Oryctolagus cuniculus: one gene and its partners. The protein of the gene in region 1 interacts with the protein of each later gene in a pairwise test. Links are inferred from orthologs where the notes say so. Each region holds a gene or a part of one and is shown in the gene's direction. Other genes may lie near its edges.

Evidence for each region.
Region 2: the proteins of NT5C2 (region 1) and MOB3B interact in binary tests that used the Homo sapiens proteins (3 or more experiments, as listed by UniProt). The two-hybrid records come from large-scale screens. The link is inferred for Oryctolagus cuniculus from reciprocal best matches to the Homo sapiens genes NT5C2 and MOB3B.
Region 3: the proteins of NT5C2 (region 1) and NUDT18 interact in binary tests that used the Homo sapiens proteins (3 or more experiments, as listed by UniProt). The two-hybrid records come from large-scale screens. The link is inferred for Oryctolagus cuniculus from reciprocal best matches to the Homo sapiens genes NT5C2 and NUDT18.
Region 4: the proteins of NT5C2 (region 1) and FXR2 interact in binary tests that used the Homo sapiens proteins (3 or more experiments, as listed by UniProt). The two-hybrid records come from large-scale screens. The link is inferred for Oryctolagus cuniculus from reciprocal best matches to the Homo sapiens genes NT5C2 and FXR2.
Region 5: the proteins of NT5C2 (region 1) and NME7 interact in binary tests that used the Homo sapiens proteins (3 or more experiments, as listed by UniProt). The two-hybrid records come from large-scale screens. The link is inferred for Oryctolagus cuniculus from reciprocal best matches to the Homo sapiens genes NT5C2 and NME7.

What each region holds. Positions count from the first base shown.
Region 1 is NC_091446.1:26,728,712-26,733,016, forward strand, and holds the start of NT5C2 (cytosolic purine 5'-nucleotidase), read left to right. Parts: upstream 1-1,500; 5' UTR 1,501-1,540; intron 1,541-4,305. Other genes in the region: INA (alpha-internexin), read right to left, coding at 436-1,500. UniProt on the Homo sapiens protein: Broad specificity cytosolic 5'-nucleotidase that catalyzes the dephosphorylation of 6-hydroxypurine nucleoside 5'-monophosphates.
Region 2 is NC_091432.1:190,810,295-190,814,234, reverse strand, and holds the start of MOB3B (MOB kinase activator 3B), read left to right. Parts: upstream 1-1,138; 5' UTR 1,139-1,451; intron 1,452-3,940. UniProt on the Homo sapiens protein: Modulates LATS1 expression in the Hippo signaling pathway which plays a pivotal role in organ size control and tumor suppression by restricting proliferation and promoting apoptosis.
Region 3 is NC_091439.1:1,194,107-1,198,186, forward strand, and holds NUDT18 (8-oxo-dGDP phosphatase NUDT18), read left to right. Parts: upstream 1-1,276; 5' UTR 1,277-1,382; coding exon 1,383-1,538; intron 1,539-2,180; coding exon 2,181-2,394; intron 2,395-2,681; coding exon 2,682-3,277; 3' UTR 3,278-3,620; downstream 3,621-4,080. UniProt on the Homo sapiens protein: Mediates the hydrolysis of oxidized nucleoside diphosphate derivatives. Hydrolyzes 8-oxo-7,8-dihydroguanine (8-oxo-Gua)-containing deoxyribo- and ribonucleoside diphosphates to the monophosphates. Hydrolyzes 8-oxo-dGDP and 8-oxo-GDP with the same efficiencies.
Region 4 is NC_091448.1:52,159,762-52,163,272, reverse strand, and holds part of FXR2 (RNA-binding protein FXR2), read left to right. Parts: intron 1-1,571; coding exon 1,572-1,742; intron 1,743-1,915; coding exon 1,916-1,994; intron 1,995-2,934; coding exon 2,935-3,044; intron 3,045-3,269; coding exon 3,270-3,356; intron 3,357-3,511. UniProt on the Homo sapiens protein: mRNA-binding protein that acts as a regulator of mRNAs translation and/or stability, and which is required for adult hippocampal neurogenesis. Specifically binds to AU-rich elements (AREs) in the 3'-UTR of target mRNAs.
Region 5 is NC_091438.1:29,426,507-29,430,017, forward strand, and holds part of NME7 (nucleoside diphosphate kinase homolog 7), read left to right. Parts: intron 1-1,046; coding exon 1,047-1,254; intron 1,255-3,511. UniProt on the Homo sapiens protein: Possesses an intrinsic kinase activity. Displays 3'-5' exonuclease activity with a preference for single-stranded DNA. Does not seem to have nucleoside diphosphate kinase activity.

The sequences.
Region 1 (4,305 bases):
ACCTTCCCCCAACACCGAGGCAGACCATATCCCAGAAACACCAATTCCTGGGCTCACAGAAATCCTTTCAAAGTCAACCAAACAAGCCGCGGGGAGGCTGTCACCGGCTCCCATGGCTCACTTCTTATTGGGGGTGGGGACTGTCCTGCAGGTCGCCAGCGCGTGTGTGCCCACTTGCTAACAAAGAAGCATACATGTTAGAACTTCCAATTTTAAGGGGTCTTTTGTTAGAAGAGCTCAGACAGGAATCCAAGTGAGGGGCAGAGAAGGAGGGCTTCCAGGCTGCTAGAATTAAGAGCGGAGACTCCAGGGCTTTTTGTTCGCCAGCGCCTCCAGTCGGGGCTCTTCTCTCGCTCACCCTCCCTTCGGTTCCCAGGGCCCGTGTTCCAGACAGCGCAGACTCGAGCAGAGACAGAGTGCCCAGCCCTTCCTTACCTGGTAGCCGGCCACCTCAGCGCTGTGCCGCTCCTCCAGTTCCAGGATCTGCCTCTCCAAAGACTCGTTGGCCCCGCGCAGGCCCTCGATCTCGATGGTGCGTGCCTGTAGTTGGCGCCGGTACTCGTGGATCTCCTCGCGGCTGGCCCGGATGGCCTCAGTGCTGCGCGCTGCCTGCTCGTTCAGGTTGGCGAACTTGGACTTGTACCACTCCTCGGCGGACTGGAGATTCTTAGCGGCCAGGGACTCATACTGGGCGCGGATCTCCCTCAGCGCCGAGCTCAGGTCTGGTTTAGCCACAGCCACGTCCACCTCGGCCGCGGCCTGCGACGACGCCTGCAGCGTGGCCAGCAGCTCGGCTACCTCTTCGTCGTGCACCTGGCGCACGAAGGCCAGCTCGTCCAGCAGCGACTCTACCTTCTTCTCCAGGTCCAGGCGGGCCAGCGTGGCGCCGTCCACGTCGCGCTGCTGCGCCTTCAGAGCGCGCTCGGCGCCCTCGCGCCCGCGGCTCTCCTCCTCGCAGCGGGCCCGCAGCCGCTGCACCTCCTCGGCCAGCCCGTCGCGCTCCAGCAGGGCCTGCGCGCGCGCCGAGCTCGCCTCTTCCAGCTGCGCGCGCAGGTCGCGCAGCTCGCGCTGGAAGAGCTCGCCGACGCGCGACGGCTCGGCGTGGCGCTGCCGCAGCGCGGCCAGCTCGGCCTCGAGCGCCCGGTTCTGCGTCTCCAGCTGGTGCACTTTCTCGATGAACACGGCGAAGCGGTCGTTGAGGCCCTGCAGCTGCTCCTTCTCGTTGGTGCGGATGATCTTGTACTCGTTGGTACGCGCCGCCGCTTGACTCAGGTCCAGACCGTCGGACGCCGGTAGCCGGCGGTAGGCCAGGCCCAGGCCGAGGGACGAGGCCGAGGAGCAGGCGCCCGAGGAGGCCACATTGCAGCGGGTCAGCGACTGCGAGCGGAAGCCGCCTGCGCCGCCGGCCCCGGAGAGGCGCGCGGACAGGCGAGAGCCGTCCCCGAACACCTTGCGGTAGGAGGAGGCGGAGCACAGGTAGTGCTCCGAGCCAAAGCTCATGGTGCCGGGATCGGCGCCGGGCGTGCGGCTGCGGCTGGAGGTACGGAGCAAAGGCGAGGTGGGCAGGCGGGGTGCGGCAGGGCGGTGCGCACCGGCTTTTAAGGCGCGGGGGGCCGGGGCGGGGCGCGGGGGGCGGAGCTCCAGCTCCGGGCCAGGCCGGGAGAGGGAAGGAAGGGGGGCACCCAGGAGCGGGGGCGGGGAAGCGCAGTGCCTACCGCAGCTGCGCGCGACCTACCTAGGGCGCGGGGACAGGCCCTAGTGCGTAGAAGCCGCCTTCCGTCCGCAGCGCCTCTTCCCCCGAAAATCGAGTGCTTTGAAAGAAACTTGAGCTCAGGGGTCTCCCACCCGGAGACCACGCGCATCTCTGTCGCGTCCCTGGCCTGTATCCCGCCTTCCCCCTCTGACCCACCGGGAGGGCAGGGCTTCCTGGGAGATGTGCCCTTCACCCATCCCCATCCCTGCGTTCCTCAGGGTGAGTCCTGCTTTTCCGGACGAGGCCCTGTCCCCCACCTCGGGCTCCCGGGTTCCCAGAGGGAAAGTGTGTCTGCGGCTCTCCGAGAGCAGCTGCGGGGCTGGGCCTCTGGAGATCCCGGGATGGGAGGGTGCGACGCCCGCCCGCCTGGGAGGCCCCGGAGATGGAGATCGGTAAAGACAGGGAGTGGTGCACCGAGCTGAAGCTGGGGAGAGTGGGAAGAAGAGGTGGTAGAGGAGAGAGGGGCCAGGCCTGGAAGAGGAGGAAGCTCTGGGAGTTACTGGGGCCGGTCCACAGGGCACTAGTGCGGTACAGATTAGAATCACAGATGCGAGAAGGGGCTGCAGACTTCGTTTTTCAAGCACTTTTTTTTTTTTAATTTTGTTCATTTGCTTATTTTCATTTTATTTGAAAGGCAGATAAACCAAGAGAGAACTACTTAAATACAGATGGGTTTCCACGTGCTTGTTCACTGTCTAAATGCTGGCATCTGCCAGGACTGGGTCAGGCTGAAGCCAGGAGCCAGGAACTCCTGGGTCTCCCATGTGGGAGGCAGGGACCCATCATCCTCTGCCTCCCAGGGTGTGCATTAGCAGGGAGCTGGTTCAGAAGCACAGAGTCGCTGGGACTGGAACCAGGAAGTCTCACAGCGGGTGCAGACACCCAAGGTAATGACTTAAGTTGCTGTACCACTGCACCGAATGCCTGCCCCAAGCGCTTTATTTTAAAACATTTCAGGCCGGCGCTGCAGCTCACTAGGCTAATCCTCTGCCTGTGGCACCAGCACCCCGGATTCTGGTCCCAGTTGGGGCTCCAGATTCTGTCCCGGTTGCCCCTCTTCCAGTCCAGCTCTCTGCTGTGGCCCAGGAAGGCAGTGGAGGGTGGCCCAAGTCCTTGGGCCCTGCACCCCATGGGAGACCAGGAGAAGCACCTGGCTCCTGGCTCTGGATCTGCAGAAGCAGCCATTTGGGGGGTGAACCAACAGAAAAGAAAGACTTTTCTCTCTGTCTCTCTCTCTCACTGTCTAACTCTGCCTGTCAAAAAAAATTTTTTTTCAAAAGGAGCCTTTTAAAACTGCTTGGGGGGTTTCACCTAGAAAGAAATTGGATCTGGCTGCTTCTAAGATAGGAAGAGCTGGGCTGGCATGACGGGAGGAGGTGGGGTGTGCCATTTGCTCACGAAATGTGCTCTTTCTTTCACAGCTGGCCCCATCACTCGCCACTGAAGTGCCCTTACCTACTAAAGTCATTTACTTTTCCCGTTTGGCCCAGTGGGCATTTGCAGTCCAGCCTCTGTAAGTCTTGCAGGACAGGCCCTCATGTGGCTTTGGAGAACTAGCCACTTCTGCAGAGCTCTCTCTGTACAGAAGAGGTCCCTGCAAGCAGATTAACCCTCAGGAGCTGGGAAGAGCACTGGTGACTGCACTGGCCTCCTTTAACACACAGTGGAAGGAATTTCAGAATGGGCTCTAGACAGATGTAGACAGATGAGGCTGGGAGGGGTCAACATGGGGTTGTCGGTAGGCGCTCTCAGGGTTATACCGTGGTGCAGGATGTGGGCCTCGCTTCAGAGACGGACTAGCAGGACTGTGTTGGTTGTATTCCAGACTTCCAGACTGAGGGCTGGTTTTGGTCTAGAAATCTCCAGGTGTATTTCTAGGATATGTTTATTTCCTCTCATGGGGGCAGGGTCACATGATATTACCTGGGGAAGGCCAGCCAAGAAAGGGGAAGAGGAATCTTTTTTTTTTTTAAGATTATTTATTTGAAAGGCATAATTATATAGAGGGAGAGAGAGAGAGAGAGAGAGAGCAACAGCTGGAGCTGGGCTGATCCAAAGCCAGGAGCCAGGAGCTTCTTCTGGATCTCCCACATAGGTACAGGGCCCAAGGACTTGGGCCATCCTCTACTGCTTTCCCAGGCCATAGCAGAGAGCTAGATTGGAAGTGGAGCAGCTGGGACTTGAACCAGCGCCCATAGGAGATGCTGGCAGTGCAGGTGGCGGCTTTACCTGCTCTGCCTCAGCTCCGGTCCAGGAAGGGGGAATCTTATGGAATTCTGGAGCATACCTCCTGCCTATGCTTGATATCGTGTGAGACGGTGGAGTCCAGCTGCAGCCTCCCCATCTGGTTGCTTGTCACAGACCAAATACTTGAGCTGGGGGGACTTAATTCTGAGGTCTTTGGGCTCAGAAAGTCTTGGTGAAGAATGAGATGGAAGTGTGCTGACACCACCAAGTAATCAATCATTGTCTGCCAGCCATCATGGCTGCACTTTTACACAGGTCTGCCTCCTTCTGGCTGCTGTTCAAGGTGGCCGTCACTCTAATCCTAC
Region 2 (3,940 bases), on another chromosome or scaffold:
TAAAGGTAAACTGGAATAATTAAGGGCCATTTCCATCCTAATTGTGCTAGATAATGAAGGGCTCTCTGATTGTCATGCGCACCAAAGAACAAAAGCAGCTTTGAGTGCAGTGACTGGGGTTTGAGCATCTGAAGATTAGGGCTGTCTGGAAATGAGGTTGCACTTCTCAGGGATGCACAGGAATATTGCTTGGTGGCTGCATCTTTGTATCTGGCAGAGTTCTAAATTCATAGTCATTAATATATTTCCCTGCCCAAATAATGCAGAATTAAATAGAGTCATACGATCCTGGTGGAAACCAATGGCGAATGGTATTTAATAAAATGCTTGCAATATCAGAGATGACCAGCCATCACAAAAGATATGTGGGCTTTTGGAGTCTCATTTAGTAGTTGTGGAAGCTTCTTTTGGGAGCCATGTTTTTTCCATATATCCTAAATTCTACTTAATGTATTTCCATGTCTCTTGAAAGTGTGCCTAAAAATTGTAAAAGGCAATTTAAAAAAGTATTTATTAATTATTTATTTCAAAGGCAGAGAGAGTTTTCATGTGTTGGTTCACCCCCACCCCCACCCCCAATGCCTGTAACAGCCAGGGCTGGGCCACATGAGCCAGGAGCTAATTGATCAGGGTCTCTCACCTGAGTGCGGGGGAACCATCACCTGCTGCTGCCGAGGGTGCACATTACAGGAGGCTGAAATGGAACCAGGACCCAAACACAGGCACTCAGATACATGATGCAGATTCCAAGTAGCTCCAACACAGACCCTTAAAACGCAATTCTTAGTCGTTTGTTACTCCTCAGGCAATATGCATGACACGCTACAGAAGGATCAGGAAGACCCAGTTCTTTCTCTCAGGACACCAGGGAGCTGGCATTTGATGACTCCTACTATGAACTAGGAACACTTTCCTCTCTAGGTGGTCTGGAAGTGGCCGCGGTGGATCCAACGCCTCCTTTCTCAAGTAACATCTTCCTCGCCGCCCTGGCCCAAGGGTCAGCGTCTTTTCTGCAAAGTTGGGAGCCCCCACACAAGGCCCACATCCTGTAACTTGCCCGAGGCAACACTATCCTGAAGGCTCACCCACAGAGCTGCCGTCCCGCAGGCGGCCGCCAGGGGTCCCCGCTCGGCGTCCCGCACGCTGCTCGTCAAGCCCCGGCGGGCTGTGCGGCGCGCTGGGCGCATGTTGGGGCTGCTTTGGAGTCGCAGCGGCTGCAGCGGGAGCCCGGGCGCTGGCCCCAGAGCCCCTCGTGTGGATCCGCAAGCGTCTCCCCTCCTGCCCGAGTTCACTGCTTTTCTCTCGCGCCGCCTGCAGCTGATCCAGTGAAGGGAGCCGACAGGGCCCTGGCTCGAAGGTAAATCCCCGCGGTGAGAGAGAACCGCTCCGGGCGACGGAAGGCGGCGCAGCCCGGCAGCTCCTCGCTCCCGTTCGCGCCCAGGCGGGCAGAGGTATGGGGTACACCTGGGGCGGGTGCAACAGGGGAGTGGGGGTGGTGTCGGACCCTTCTCTCCTGCCCTCAGTCCCCGGGGCTTCCGGGGCCAGAGCCCGCTTTAAAACCGAGCCCCAGCCGTGGCTGCCGGCCGGCTCCCTGGGCGCAGTACCCGGGCAGGAGCGAGGGTCGAGTTCCCACCGCGGGATCCGTGGCCTTGACTTTACAAGATCTGAGCGAAAACGCCTCCCACGGTCCGGAACCGCAGATGGGTGCGGGGTGCCGAGCTGGGCTGTGTGTGGCGAGAACAACTTTTCGGCAAGTGCACTTGGGCAGGGGGATCACGTTTGAGCGTCCGGCTGGGCTTGGGGCCGCGTCGGGGAACTCCGCGCCGTCAGCCGGGTCGCCCCGGGGCTTGCGGGTGCTTCGTGGAGGGCGGTAGTGAGTTAAGAACCTACAAATCCTGCTGAACTCTTGGGCCAACAGCTGTCAAGCTTCGGCAGTGCCAGCCCCTCCCTTTGCCTGTACCGGGGAGGAAGGGGGAAAACCTCACAACTTTTCTTCGCTTGCTCCTCCCCGCTTTCGGACCCCTCTCGCGAGGGTCAAGGGCCGAACCCTGGCGCCAGGCAGGTACTAGAGACCTTAAATCCCTCGGGATCCGCCTCACCCTCCTTCCCGGGCCCCTCCTAGCGCCCTCCCCGCGGGGACCGCGCTACTGAGCCGGCTGTGGTCGCGGCGAATGGCCTTTTGTTTCTCCGCGTTTCTCCCATTGTTTGCCTTTCCAACATCTGGCGAGGCTTGGGAAGCGAAAGAAGCCCCTCTGTCGCCCCTCTCCCCGGTCCCCCGTGCCTCCCGCGCCAGCCGCTTGGCCCGCCCGGGTTGGGGATCCGGGCCGAGGGAGAGAGGAGCCCGACCCTAGAGAGGCCGCCCCAGCCGAGGCCCTGTGGTTAGGAGGGCGGAGGGAAAGTGGTCCCTTCTCCGCCTCCTCGGCTGCCTGTGGCCCAGGGCGCATTTTTCAGATCTTATCCCAGGCGCGCCGCAAAGGGCGCAAGTTTGAAAAGGGTGCTGCTTTCGAGAGAGTGGAAAGGAGGTTCCGCCCCGCCCCAGGGTGTCCAGTGGCTGGTTCCATTTCAGTCTCCCTGCGAAAGCGGTGTGGCTGGGTGCTGCCAGGGCAGGAGGAGGGTGTCAGGGCCCCTCTGGTTAGGCAGAAAGCCGCGGTTCTGGGGTTTGCAAGTTTCCAAGGACTGGAGGGCAGGGAGGGAGATGCAAATAGACTTTTAGCTTCAAGCCTGGAAATCTGTAGTGCGGTGGTTCGCTTCCGCCTAAGCCTAGAGTTCTGGTTTCACTAGGGCTTGAAGTGCCCTCCCTGTAGTGTAGGAAAAGCGGATCCTGAGGATTCGGGCCGAGCAAGAAAGACCCGGTGACCTGGGCTGGGCCCGAGCTTCCCTGTGCAGGTTGCAGGTGGCCCTGGTTCCCTGTTCAAGTTAGATGCTCACACCCGCTGTTCCCTCTCGGGCAATGTGGATTACCTATCAAGGGGCTTCGTGGAGAGCAAAGCTACCTCTGGGAGAAGGCAGGGGCCCCAGGTGGTGCTCAGAGTCATTTAGCCTGTGAGCGGGAGGCCAAGCCTGCACACCTGTTGGAACCTATACTTTTGCATAGCCTGGCAGTGGACTGGGTTTTGTGGGGTGACCACAAAAGGAGCCCCTCTTCCAAGGAGGTTCAATTACACTCATTTTGTCCTTCAACTTAAAAAAAAATACTCACATGAAAGGCAGTCATAGAAAAAGCGAGAGAAATCTTTCATTTCTTGGTTCACTCCCTAAATATCTGTGAAGGCTGGGGCTGGGCGGGGCAGAAGCCAGGAGCCTGGGACAACATCCTGATCTCCCCTGTGGGTGGCAGGGGCCAAAGGACAGGGGCCATCTTCTTCTGCTTTTCCAGGCACATTCGCAGGCAGCTGGATCAGAGCTGGAGTAGCTCCAAGGACTTACGCTGTTTGGAACAGGGGCTTAACCCGCTTTGCCACCCTAGCCCCATGTCCTCCAACTTTTGATCCCTCACCTCCTCAGGGGAGGGAGGAGCTTTCGGGGAACTTGGGATTTAAACTTGGAGTCCTGTGTGAAGTCCGAACCTCACGTTCCTTCTGGGGTGAATCACCACACTACTTGTGACCTGGGAACTCACTCAAACATTTTTAGTGGAAATTGTGCTTGGCTCTACACAGTTCTAAGAATTTTTCCTTTATAGACTTAACAGAACTTTGGGGCTTGTATTTATTTGTTTATTTGAAAAACAGAGTGACACAGAAAGAGAAAGGGAAAGAGAAAGTATTTTCTGCTTGTGGTTCACTCCCCACATGGCTGCAGCCGCCATGGCTATGCCAAGCCACAGCCAGGAGCTCCGTCTGGGTCTTCCACGTGGGTGCATTTCTGACTTAAACAATGAAAGGCACTACACATTTCCGAAGCTTTTTCCAGATCTTTAGATACAGGAATCAAACAGTGT
Region 3 (4,080 bases), on another chromosome or scaffold:
CTCTCTCGTTCAGTCATCCCTGGAGGCAGAAGGGAGTCTGGCAGCAGTACTGCCCCCACTTCACAGGTGGGAAAACTGAGGATCACACACGCACGGAGCCAATCTGTTGTCCTGGGGTACTGCACCCAGCCCCAGGGAGCTGGTTGAGAGGTGTTGGACAGGGCAAGTGCCTCAAAAGCTTAGGGGGTGCCCGTGTGGCCCTGCACAGGGCTCTGTCTGCAGCAAGCGTGCAGCCAGTCCCCCACCGCGAGAAGGGTCTACGGCTCCCCAGTGGAACCTGTTCTCAGGCACAAGCCAGGAGGGTGGGCCTTTGCGGCGTAGCCCAGCCTGCAGGCTCCGGGGCTGCCCGGGGCCCACACGGCTCCTCTCGAATAGCCTGCCTTGCCATCCACCCTGGCCAAGAAAAGCTGCCAGGAACCTAATCGGAAGCCCACCACATCCCCAAGGAGCGCAGAGCCGGCCGGTCAGCAGGGCGGGTGGGTGGCTTTGCTCTCATCAGCCAGCTACTGTCCCCAACCCCCGAAGGCGGAGGGAGGAGGGGCCGGTGGGGGAGGCCTGTGTGGGTGAGGAGCCCAGACTTGGCTGGCTCTTCGGATTCCTCCCAGCTGGCGGCGAGGAGGAAAGGTCAGGCTGAGCCGAGCGAGCGGGAGCTGGCCACGCTGCAGCGCCCTGCGCAGGACACGCCGTGGACAGGAGGACGCTAAGGGCAGCCCCCAGTGCCCAGCCCTGTCCCCTCCCCGCGTCCGGCCCGCCCCGATCGTGATCACTTAGCATTTAGGCTGTCACCCTCAACCGACTTTTTATTATGGATCAGAACCTCGCGTTCCCGAACCCCAGCCCTCGGCGGGACATCCAGTACGTGTCAGCGAAGTCAGAAGAAAGTTACTTAGGTCGTCATCATCTCAGACAATGCCCTGGCGGGTTAAGACAAAAGGCGGGGGCCGCGGGTCCCGGGGCGGACACCCTGGCCGCCGTGACGTCATCGGGCCTGTGACGTCACCGCCGCGGCGCCCCGCACCCTGCGGGCCAGATGGCGTCACCATCGGAACCTGCGTAAACAAGTATGCGCTCGGGGAGCCGCGGCGAGAGAGAGACAGAAAGAGACAGAGAGAGAGAGACAGCGCGCTGACCCTGGGGCAGGAGCCGGGCCGGAGGTCCGCTCGGCCCCACAGGGCGTTAGGCCCCCTGACGGGCTGGCCCCGCCCCGGGCGGCCGGCGCGGGCCAATCCGGGCGGGCCGCGGCGCCACGCAGCCTATCAGCGGCCAGGGCTCGCCGGGCGCTTCCGCGTTGGGCAGCTCGCCGGCGCGGGCCGGGCCGCACGCTCGGCCGCAGCCCCGCCTGGCCGCTGCGCGGGGCCCGGGCCACCGCCCGCCGGGGCCCGATGGCCTCGGAGGACCTGGCGGGGGCGCTGGCGGCCGTGCTGGAGGGCCGGGGGCTGCGCGTGCACAGCTGTGACTCGGGGCCGGCCGGGCAGCCGCGAGCGCGGCTGCGGACCAACGTCTCCTACGTGGTGCTGGCCGTGTTCCTCAACGAGCAGGTGAGCGAGCCCGCCGGGCCCTGCTGGGCACGAAGACACAACGGCCAGGGCCGGCGCCGCCTCGCGCGTGGCGTTCCCCAGTTCTGCAAAGCACTCACTCACGCGCGCCTCGCAGCCCTGTGGGTGGCCGGGTGCACAGAGGGCTGCGCCCTGGCCCTCGGTTCCTGCAGCACAGAGCTCCCCTCCCCCAGGGCCTAGCACGGTGTGAGCTGGCTCCCCGGGACGTCTGAGGCGTGGCCTGCGCCCCCCCACCCCCACCCCCGCCTGGTTATGGCACAAGGCAGGCTCACGCTCAGATCTGACCCCTTGTCGCTGCTCTGGGTCCCTGTTGTAGGCTGTGAGATAAGAATCAGAAGGGGCCAGAGCCCCAGGTGGGCCTGCATGGGGGTGTTGGGGGGGGATCAGAACCCAGACCCCAGAGTGAGGACCTGCCACTAGGCTGTGCACCCCATGGGGACGCGGGAGACACACAGTGACACAGTGGAGACACACGCGCAGCCCGATCTTGACCCACAGAGAGCAGCTGGCTGCAGGCCCCCCGCCCCCAGGGAGGGGGTCTTGGGCAACCCCAGGGCAGGGAAGGGCCTGGCTGGCTGGCCTCTCCCGTGCGTGGTGGAGAGTGCCAATCCCCTCTCCCCTCAGGACGAGGTGCTCCTGATCCAGGAGGCCAAGAGAGAGTGCCGGGGGTCGTGGTACCTGCCGGCGGGGAGGATGGAGCCCGGGGAGACCATCGTGGAGGCCCTGCAGCGGGAGGTGAAGGAGGAGGCGGGGCTGCAGTGTGAGCCCGAGACCCTGCTTGCCGTGGAGGAGCGAGGCCCCTCCTGGATCCGTTTTGTGTTCCTGGCTCGTCCCACAGGTATGGCTCTCCTGGGGCAGTGCCGTAGCCGCCTTCCTCCGACTCCTCCACCCCCACCCTGTGGTCTTCCGGTGAGATGAGCCCACTCCCTAGCCAGCCCTGTGCTGACTGCTACAGCTCTGGCACTGGCAGACCCTAGCCTGGGGAGGTGGGAGTGGGGGAGGCTCAGCCCCGGCCCCGGCCCCGCTCGGGGTTAGAACCAGGGTGGCCTGCCGGGTCTGTGTCCTCTGTGAGATCCGGTGCTTCTTCCCACCCACACCACTGCTCCTGCCCCCACTCTCCCCTAGGTGGGACGCTGAAAACCTCACAGGAGGCTGATGCGGAGTCCCTGCAGGCTGGCTGGTACCCACGCAGCTCCCTGGCCACTCCTCTTCGAGCCCAGGACATCCTGCACCTGATAGAGCTGGCCGCCCGGTACCGCCAGCAGGCCAGGCACCCTCCCGTTCTGCCCCAGGAGCTGCCCTGCAGTGTGGTGTGCCAGCGGCTCGTGGCCACCTTCACCGGTGCCCAGACGGTATGGGTGCTGGTGGGCACGGTGGGGGCGCCTCACTTGCCCGTCACGGCCTGTGACTTCGCCCCTATGGAGCAGAGGGGCGGCCTGAAGGTGGCCGTGCTGCGGCTGCTCCAGGAGTGCCTGACCCTGCACAGTTTGGCCGTGGAGACCAAGGGGCTGCTGGGGTTGCAGCACCTGGGCAAGGACCATGCCGACGGCATCTGCCTGAACGTGCTGCTGGCGGTGGCTTTTCGCAACCCGGGCATCCAGGAGGAGCCCCCGAAGATTCGGGGTGAGAACTACGCGTGGTGGAAGGTGGGGGATGCAGGCCTGCAGGGCCAGCTCCTCCAGAGGTTGCTGGACTGTTCTGCTGTCCCACTGAACAGATAGGTGCCCTCCCCGAGGGACGCGGAAGCCAGCAATCTGGGCTCGTGCTGCATCGGCAGCAGAGGCTGCTCTGGGTCTCGGGGCCTGCGGGGAGCAGGCTACCACAGTGCATCAGAAGGGACAGTGCCTTCACCAAGCAAAGGGTCCAGAGGTCCAGGGCCCTGCCGCCAAGGGCACACGATGCGTCTCCCCCCCGGGTTGGGGAGGGGGACGCGGGAGCATCCTGGAGTCTCGTTGTTCTGTGTGCACCCCCATGAAGGCCCCGCCCTGGCCTCTGCGGGCACTTGGGGCTCCCAGGGGACCAGGAGGGCATCCCTTGCTGAGTAAACAGGTGTTGCCACCTGCCTTTCCTGCCCAAATGTCTGTGTGGGGAGGACACGAGGGGGCTGCTGCTGTGTGGCCCCCGGCTCAGCAGTGGCCGCCGCCCAGGCCTTTCCCTGACAGTGTGCTGGCACTGGCACCGGGCAGGACGTCACCGAGGGGACCACAGCCCCAAGGGAGGCTCAGCTATAACCCTGCGGGGTGGAGCAGCGGGCATCTGCAGAGAGCTGCCGGTGGGACGGGAGCTGTGAGTGGTGTCCCCGTCTCTGCCCAGCTCCATTCTCCTGGCCCGCCCTGGGCCGGATCCTCCACCGCCTGGCCTTTTCACAAGTCCAGTCCAAGCTGGAAACCCTTTTCTCCACTGCCCCCAGCCCAGGCCACCCATGGTGGGATTTCTTTCAGCTTTGCGAAAAACACAAGGGGAAAAACCACAGGGGACAAAATGTGCCACTGGCTGTGTTCAGGCCTGTGTCCAGCCACGCTGG
Region 4 (3,511 bases), on another chromosome or scaffold:
CAGGGGCCCAAGAACTCGGGCTGTCTTCCACTGCTTTCCCAGGCCACAGCAGAGAGTTGGATCAGAAGTGTAGCAGCTGGGACACGAACTGGGGTCCATATGGGATGCCGGTACCATAGGTAGAGGCCTAGCCTACTACGCCATAGTAGTGGTCTCATCGGTCTTTTTTTGCTATTGCATTTTCTAAAAATTATTTCAAAATATTGCCTATATAAAAGATAGACATGTGCAGACTTCTGTAGAAAACAAAAGTCTGTGTAGATCTTTCCCGAACTCAGTGATGCTTGATCGTCCAGTTTGTTCCCTTTTTTCTTCAGCTTTGCCATCTTGTCTAGTGTAAATTCTTGATTTGGGAGTATTTCATCTTAGAATTAGCAGAGTATTTGAAATTTTCCTGTCTTCCTGCCCTTGAGTTTAGGAGCCCTGGTTGAGAAATGTGGTGTTCCATAGGCTCATTTTTTTCTTTTCTCAGTCTCTTGCTTTCTAATCAACTTGTTGGGAGAAGTTGGTATTCATTTAGTTAAGGTTAGTTATTTACACTTTGCAGATCACATGAACTTCGTCAGATCTTGCTGGTGTTGAAAGTGGTATAGGTCAGATGTAGCCACTTAGCAGGTGACAGGTCAGAGGCACAGGGTGTGTGTTTTCTCTAGGATCACACAACCACATGGTGTTAGAGCCAAATCCAGAACTTTGGTGGTTCTTCTCCCCTCAAGCCATTGCTATTTGAAAGTTCCTGAATTTTCTGCATAGTTCCTACCGGTCAGCTGACTCCAGTGTGGTTTTGTTTTTTTTTTTTTTTTAATTTATTTATTTATTTTTATTTATTTATTATTTTTTTTGACAGGCAGAGTGGACAGTGAGAGAGACAGAGAGAAAGGTCCTCCCTTTGCCGTTGGTTCACCCTCCAATGGCCGCCGCGGCCGGCGCGCTGCGCTGATCCGATGGCAGGAGCCAGGTACTTATCCTGGTCTCCCATGGGGTGCAGGGCCCAAGCACCTGGGCCATCCTCCACTGCACTCCCGGGCCACAGCAGAGAGCTGGCCTGGAAGAGGGGCAACCGGGACAGAATCCGGTGCCCCAACCAGGACTAGAACCCGGTGTGCCGGCGCCGCTAGGCGGAGGATTAGCCTAGTGAGCCACGGCGCCGGCCGGTTTTTTTTTTTTTTTTTTTTTTTAAAAGATCGATTTATTTATTTGAAAGGCAGAGTGACAGAAAGTGGTGGGGGGAGGAGAGTGTGCTTCCATATGCTGATTCACTTCCCAGATGGCTGTCATGGCTGGTGGTAGGCCAGCCAAAGCCAGGATTCCATCCAGGTCTCCCTCGTTGGTGGCAGGGGTACTTGGGTACTTGTCTCCCTGGTGCGTTAGCAGGAAGCTGGATCAGAAGCAGAGCAGCCTGGACTCAAACTGGCACTCTGATAGGAGATGCCAGCATCACAAGTGGTGGCTTAATTCACTGTGCCACACTGCTAGCCCCCAGCATGCTTCTCTGTTACGCAGAGTCTACTACCTGGCATAGGTGTTCTGCGATTCCACCACCATGATTGTTCGAGTGGTTTTCCTTTCAGACAAGCAAGCAGCTGGCAGCAGCATTCCAGGAAGAGTTTACAGTGCGAGAGGACCTGATGGGACTGGCAATTGGGACTCATGGGGCCAATATCCAGCAGGCCCGAAAAGTACCTGGAGTGACCGCCATTGAGTTGGGTGAAGAAACCTGCACTTTCCGCATCTATGGGGAGGTCAGCAAAAGATCTGTCTTCAAGATCCTGTAGTGGGTAGAGGGAAGGGAGTGGGAAATAAGCCTAAGCTATGTGACTTTGCTGAACTTGGCAGCATATCTTCCCAAAGACAGGAAGATCGTTATTTGAGATCCAGGTCCTGTTTTAGTGACGCCACTTCATTCTTCCCCTAGACGCCAGAGGCATGCCGACAGGCTCGGAGCTACCTGGAGTTTTCTGAAGATTCAGTGCAAGTGCCCAGGAACCTGGTTGGTGAGTTGGGTGTGTGTGTATAAAAGAGAGTAGTTAGGGGCCAGTTGTGAGTCTCCTTAAATGACTCTGGGCTTGTAGTGGGTATTGGTAACTCTTGATTTCACAAGGACAGAAAGTCTGTAGTCGGAATAAAAAAAAAAAAAAAAGGAAGAATAAATTTCTAGGGATAAAATTTTTTACTTTCATTTTAGTAGAAAGGTAATTACATTTTTTCTTTTTGTTTTAATTTGACAATTAGAGATATAGACAGAAAGGTCTTCCTTCTGTTGGTTCACTCCCCAAATGGCCGCTATGGCCAGCGCTGCGCCGATCTGAAGCTAGGAGCCAGGTGCTTCCTCCTGGTCTCCCATGCGGGTGCAGGGCCCAAGGACTTGGGCCATCCTCCACTGCCTTCCTGGGCCACAGCAGAGAGCTGGACTGGAAGAGGGGCAACCAAGACTAGAACCCAGCGATCATATGGGATGCCAGTACCGCAGGTGGAGGATTAGCCTAGTGAGCCATGGCACCGGCCCCAAAAGGCATTACATTTTCCATCCACTAGTTCACTCTCCAAATGTCTGTAACAGCTAGGGCAAGGTCAGGCCGAAGCCTGGAGCCCAGAACTCCATCTGGGGTCTCCCTCATGGGTGGCAGGCAGGGACCCAAGTATGCATGAGCCATCATCTGCTGCCTCCCAGGGTGTGCACTAGCAGGGACCTGGATTGGAAACTGAGTAGCTGGGACTCGAACTAGGAGCCCCAGTAGGGAACATGGGCATCCCAGCAGCAGTTTACTGTTGGGTCAGACATCCGTCCTTTCTGTAAAACCTAACCAACAACTTAGAAGCAGGAGAATTAACGAAATGCAATCTGTACAGAGAGAGAAGGATGAGGCTGGGAGGCTGTTTTGACCTTACCTTTAAAAAAAAAAAAAAGGCCTAATTCCTCCTTTACCCATTTAGGCAAAGTGATCGGAAAGAATGGGAAAGTGATCCAGGAGATCGTGGATAAGTCTGGTGTGGTGAGGGTGCGAGTGGAAGGTGACAATGACAAGAAGAACCCCAGGGAGGAGGTATGGGCCAACTAGGACTAGAGGTTGGTTTCCACAAGTAGGTGGGCTTGTTCTCTGAGGGCTAAGACTTTGGGGGCAGGGAGGATGCACAGAAATTCTGTAGCCGCTCTAGTAACTTTAGAGCTAGACTGATGCCATTGGGTGGGTTCCCCTGGCGACTGGATGGGGCTAGCACGTGGCGTTCTACTATTCTTCCTGATCAGCTTTCCTTCCCTCTGCTCTCAGGGGATGGTTCCCTTCATATTTGTTGGCACTCGAGAAAATATCAGCAATGCCCAGGCCCTGCTGGAGTATCACCTCTCCTACCTGCAGGTACACGAGTCTGAAACCTGGGGAGGGAAGGGCTGGGCAGAGCAGGGGCCAAGACTGCTGCCAGATAAAGTCCGCAGCTGTGGCGTGCGGCTCGTTCCTCTGTAGAGTGGGAATGGGAGGTGGAAATGTGGGGCTGTGGGACGGGTCACAGGATT
Region 5 (3,511 bases), on another chromosome or scaffold:
AAAATGGATTAGATCTCTGTTGGGGTTTCTAAAATCTAACAGCTGGTTTTTACCAAGGCAGCTGAGGCCTAGGAGAATGTGTATGACTGCGGGCCCCTTGGGGAGGAATACTTCTTGTACTGAAGGGATTTAGCTCCTGAAACATGATATACCAGAGAAGGACATTTGCAAGAACAGTCATAAAGGAACAGAAGGGCCAGTCATGATCCTTTCTCCAGGAGGAAGCTGACTTCTGTCCTCTTTGGATGAGAGGGAAACCTGGCCTTACTTTAAGAAGTACTTTATTCTTGCTAACACTTGCTTAAATAAGGGTATCACTTATTCATGGTTAAGTTTCTTGCTGCCTAGTACAGATATAAAACTGGAAAAATAAAATGAAGCACTATGTTTCATGCCTTGAGGGACTGTGACTCAGTGCTGGGTTTTCAATCAAGAACTTGTGTGTACCCTTTAATAATTTAGGATAGGATACCCAGAGTAGCTTTTACACCAATAAATGGATGTTTCTTGAAGGTCTGTGTCTTTCTTTCCTCTTAGTCACTAATCCAATTGAATGTGTATTGATTCAGAGTTCTTTTTCAGTCTTTGAATGATAATAGTTCTACACAAAACTAATGGAATTCTCATTGAAAATTTATAAGATATCATTTATAACTTCTTATATTAAAAAAGTTTACTCAATTTTAAGGGTAACCCACATAAAATTAAAAAAAAGGAAAATCCTATTATTTTTAGAGCAATGGGGAAAACAGATAAGCAATATGCATTTTCAGTCGATGAAATAGTCTTCATTCAACAAAATAGTGATTTTTTTTGCCAATAGTAATTGATTTAACGTTGCTACTGTAGTGATTTGTAGTGAATCTGAAAACTATGTAACAGTCAATTTATGAAAATCTAACCACGTAAATTTCGCTATGTCTATAGTTCTGAGATCAAAATGCTCATGTCTGTATCACAAATTTAAATATGTCGTTGTTGTTAAGAGAGATTCCTAATTTGTCAGAAAAAATAAACAAATTGATCTTTTTTATCCTGATTTATAGTGAGCTGATCCAGTTTATTTCAAGTGGTCCTATAATTGCCATGGAGATTTTAAGGGATGATGCCATATGTGAATGGAAAAGACTACTTGGACCTGCAAACTCTGGGGTGGCACGTACAGATGCTTCTGGAAGCATTAGAGCCCTCTTTGGAACTGATGGCATAAGGAATGCAGCTCATGGCCCTGATTCTTTCACTTCAGCTGCCAGAGTAAGGTGTTTTCTCAAAAATATATATTTTAGTTCTATTTTAGTATTGCTAAATGTTTTATGCAAATGTAAAGCATTTCTACTATTGGTGACTTGTGGATTTATGTGGCTGATCTAGTAATGAGAGAACTTTTGACCTTTTGCTTATGATCAAACAAGGTTTTAATGATACAATTAAGTCCCCTTGGGGCCAGCGCTGTGGCACAGTAGATTAATCCTCCACCTGTGGTGCCGGTATCCCATATGGGTGCCAGTTCTAGTCCTGGCTGCACCTCTTCCAATCCAGCTCTCTGCTATGGCCTGGGAAAGCAGTAAAAGATGGCCCAAGTGTTTGGGCCCCTGCACCTGTATGGGAGACCAGAAGAAGCTCCTGGCTCCTGGCTTCAGATCAACGCAGCTCTGGCTGTTGCAGCCATTTGGGGAGTGAACCAATGGAAGGAAGACCTCTTTCTCTGTCTCTCCTTCTCATTTTCTGTAACTCTTCCTCTCAAATAAATAAATAAAATCTTTAAAAAAATAAAAAAATTTTAAAACAAACAATTAAGTCTCCTTTATGAACTGGTAACCTGCTCATAGCCAAAATTGTTCTCCAACTTAAACACTTTTTTCCAAAGACTTGAATTATTGAAAGCCACAGATCTTTGAATTATTGAATTCATGTAAGAATGCTAGTTTATGGGTAGTAAATATTTTTAAAAATCATTTGATATATTATTTCTTTGATTCAGACTTAACAGTGTTTTCAATAAGATTTTTTCATTTTCCTACGATATAGCTAGTGTTTCTAAAAAAGTTTCCCTATATTTATTCGTTATTTTTTTTAAATATAAAGTGTTGCATTGACTTTATACTGAGGTTAAATTAATGAAGTAAAAATTTATTATTAGCATCATGAGAAGTTTTTCAGCCTAATTAAGATGATTCAACCTAGCCATACTTGCAATAACATTATGCTAGACTATTTTAGAATAATGTATTTTTTTCTTGTAATTTCATCAGCAAGTCCTTTAGCTCCACTTTCAGACTCTGAATCTGATCATTGTGGTCAAATTCATTTTTCTGTTTTGCTAGAACTGCAGCAGTAACCTCCTAATTATTCTTTTATCTTACACTCAGTGTTTTAATATGTTCCTTGCCCAGGAAAAATTAAGTATGCCCAATGGTTTTCTTTTTTTTTAAGAGGCTTTTTTAAGAGGTGTTGCTTTTTTTGTTTGTTTTTTGTTTTTTGTTTTTTATTTTACAGGTAGAGTTATAGACAGTGAGAGAGAGAGACAAAGAGAAAGGTCTTCCTTCCATTGGTTTACTCCCCAAATGGCCGCCATGGCCGGCACTGCGCCAATCCGAAGCCAGGAGCCAGGTGCTTCTTCCTGGTCTCCTGCACGGTGCAGGGGCCCAAGCACTTGGGCCATCCTCTACTACCCTCCCAGGCCACAGCAGAGAGCTGGACTGGAACAGGAGCAACCAAAACTAGAACCCGGGCACACATATGGGATGCCAGCGCCGCAGGTGGAGGATTAACCAAGTGAGCCACAGTGCCGGCCCCCAGGTTTTCTTAAAATAAATCAGATTAACATTCACCTGTTGAAAACTCTTCAATTTCTGTCTCTTGGAATAAAATCTAAAGCCTTTATTGTAGCCTCTAATGCTCTAACTGATCTGGCCTCTGTCTTTGTATTTTTATCTTTGACCAGTCTCTACCTTAATCTCCATGTTCTGGGAACACTATCATACTATTCCTTGAATATTTCTTTGTGGGATGTTCCACAAACAGTGAATGCGGCAATGTTGGTCAATTGGAATGAGGGTCGGTGGGGCAAGAGTGATGAGATCATAGAAATAATCAAGGGAGAGGTCGTCTGGTCTTAAAGACGATTGTAGTACTTTCGGCTTTTGTCTGAGAGAAATAGTCGTTTCAGGGTTCTGAGAAGGGGGCTGACATGTTTTACTTGGCATTTAAAAGGATTAGTCTGAGTGTTGCATTGAGAATGGCTGGAGAGGGCAAGAATAGAAATAGGTAGCCTAATCAAGAGTCTGTTGCAATAATTCAGAGAGATGATGGCTGAGGCTGGGGTGGTAGCAATGAGAAAAGTATATAAATGTATTTTAAAGTATTTTAATAGTTGAAGGGTGAACGAGATTTCCTGTCAGTTTGAATTCAGCCTATGAGAAAAAGATAAACAGCAAAAATTATTCCCAAGTTTTTTAGCCTGAGCAACTGAACAGATAGAGTTTATGGGAGCAGAAATTGGCAATCAGTA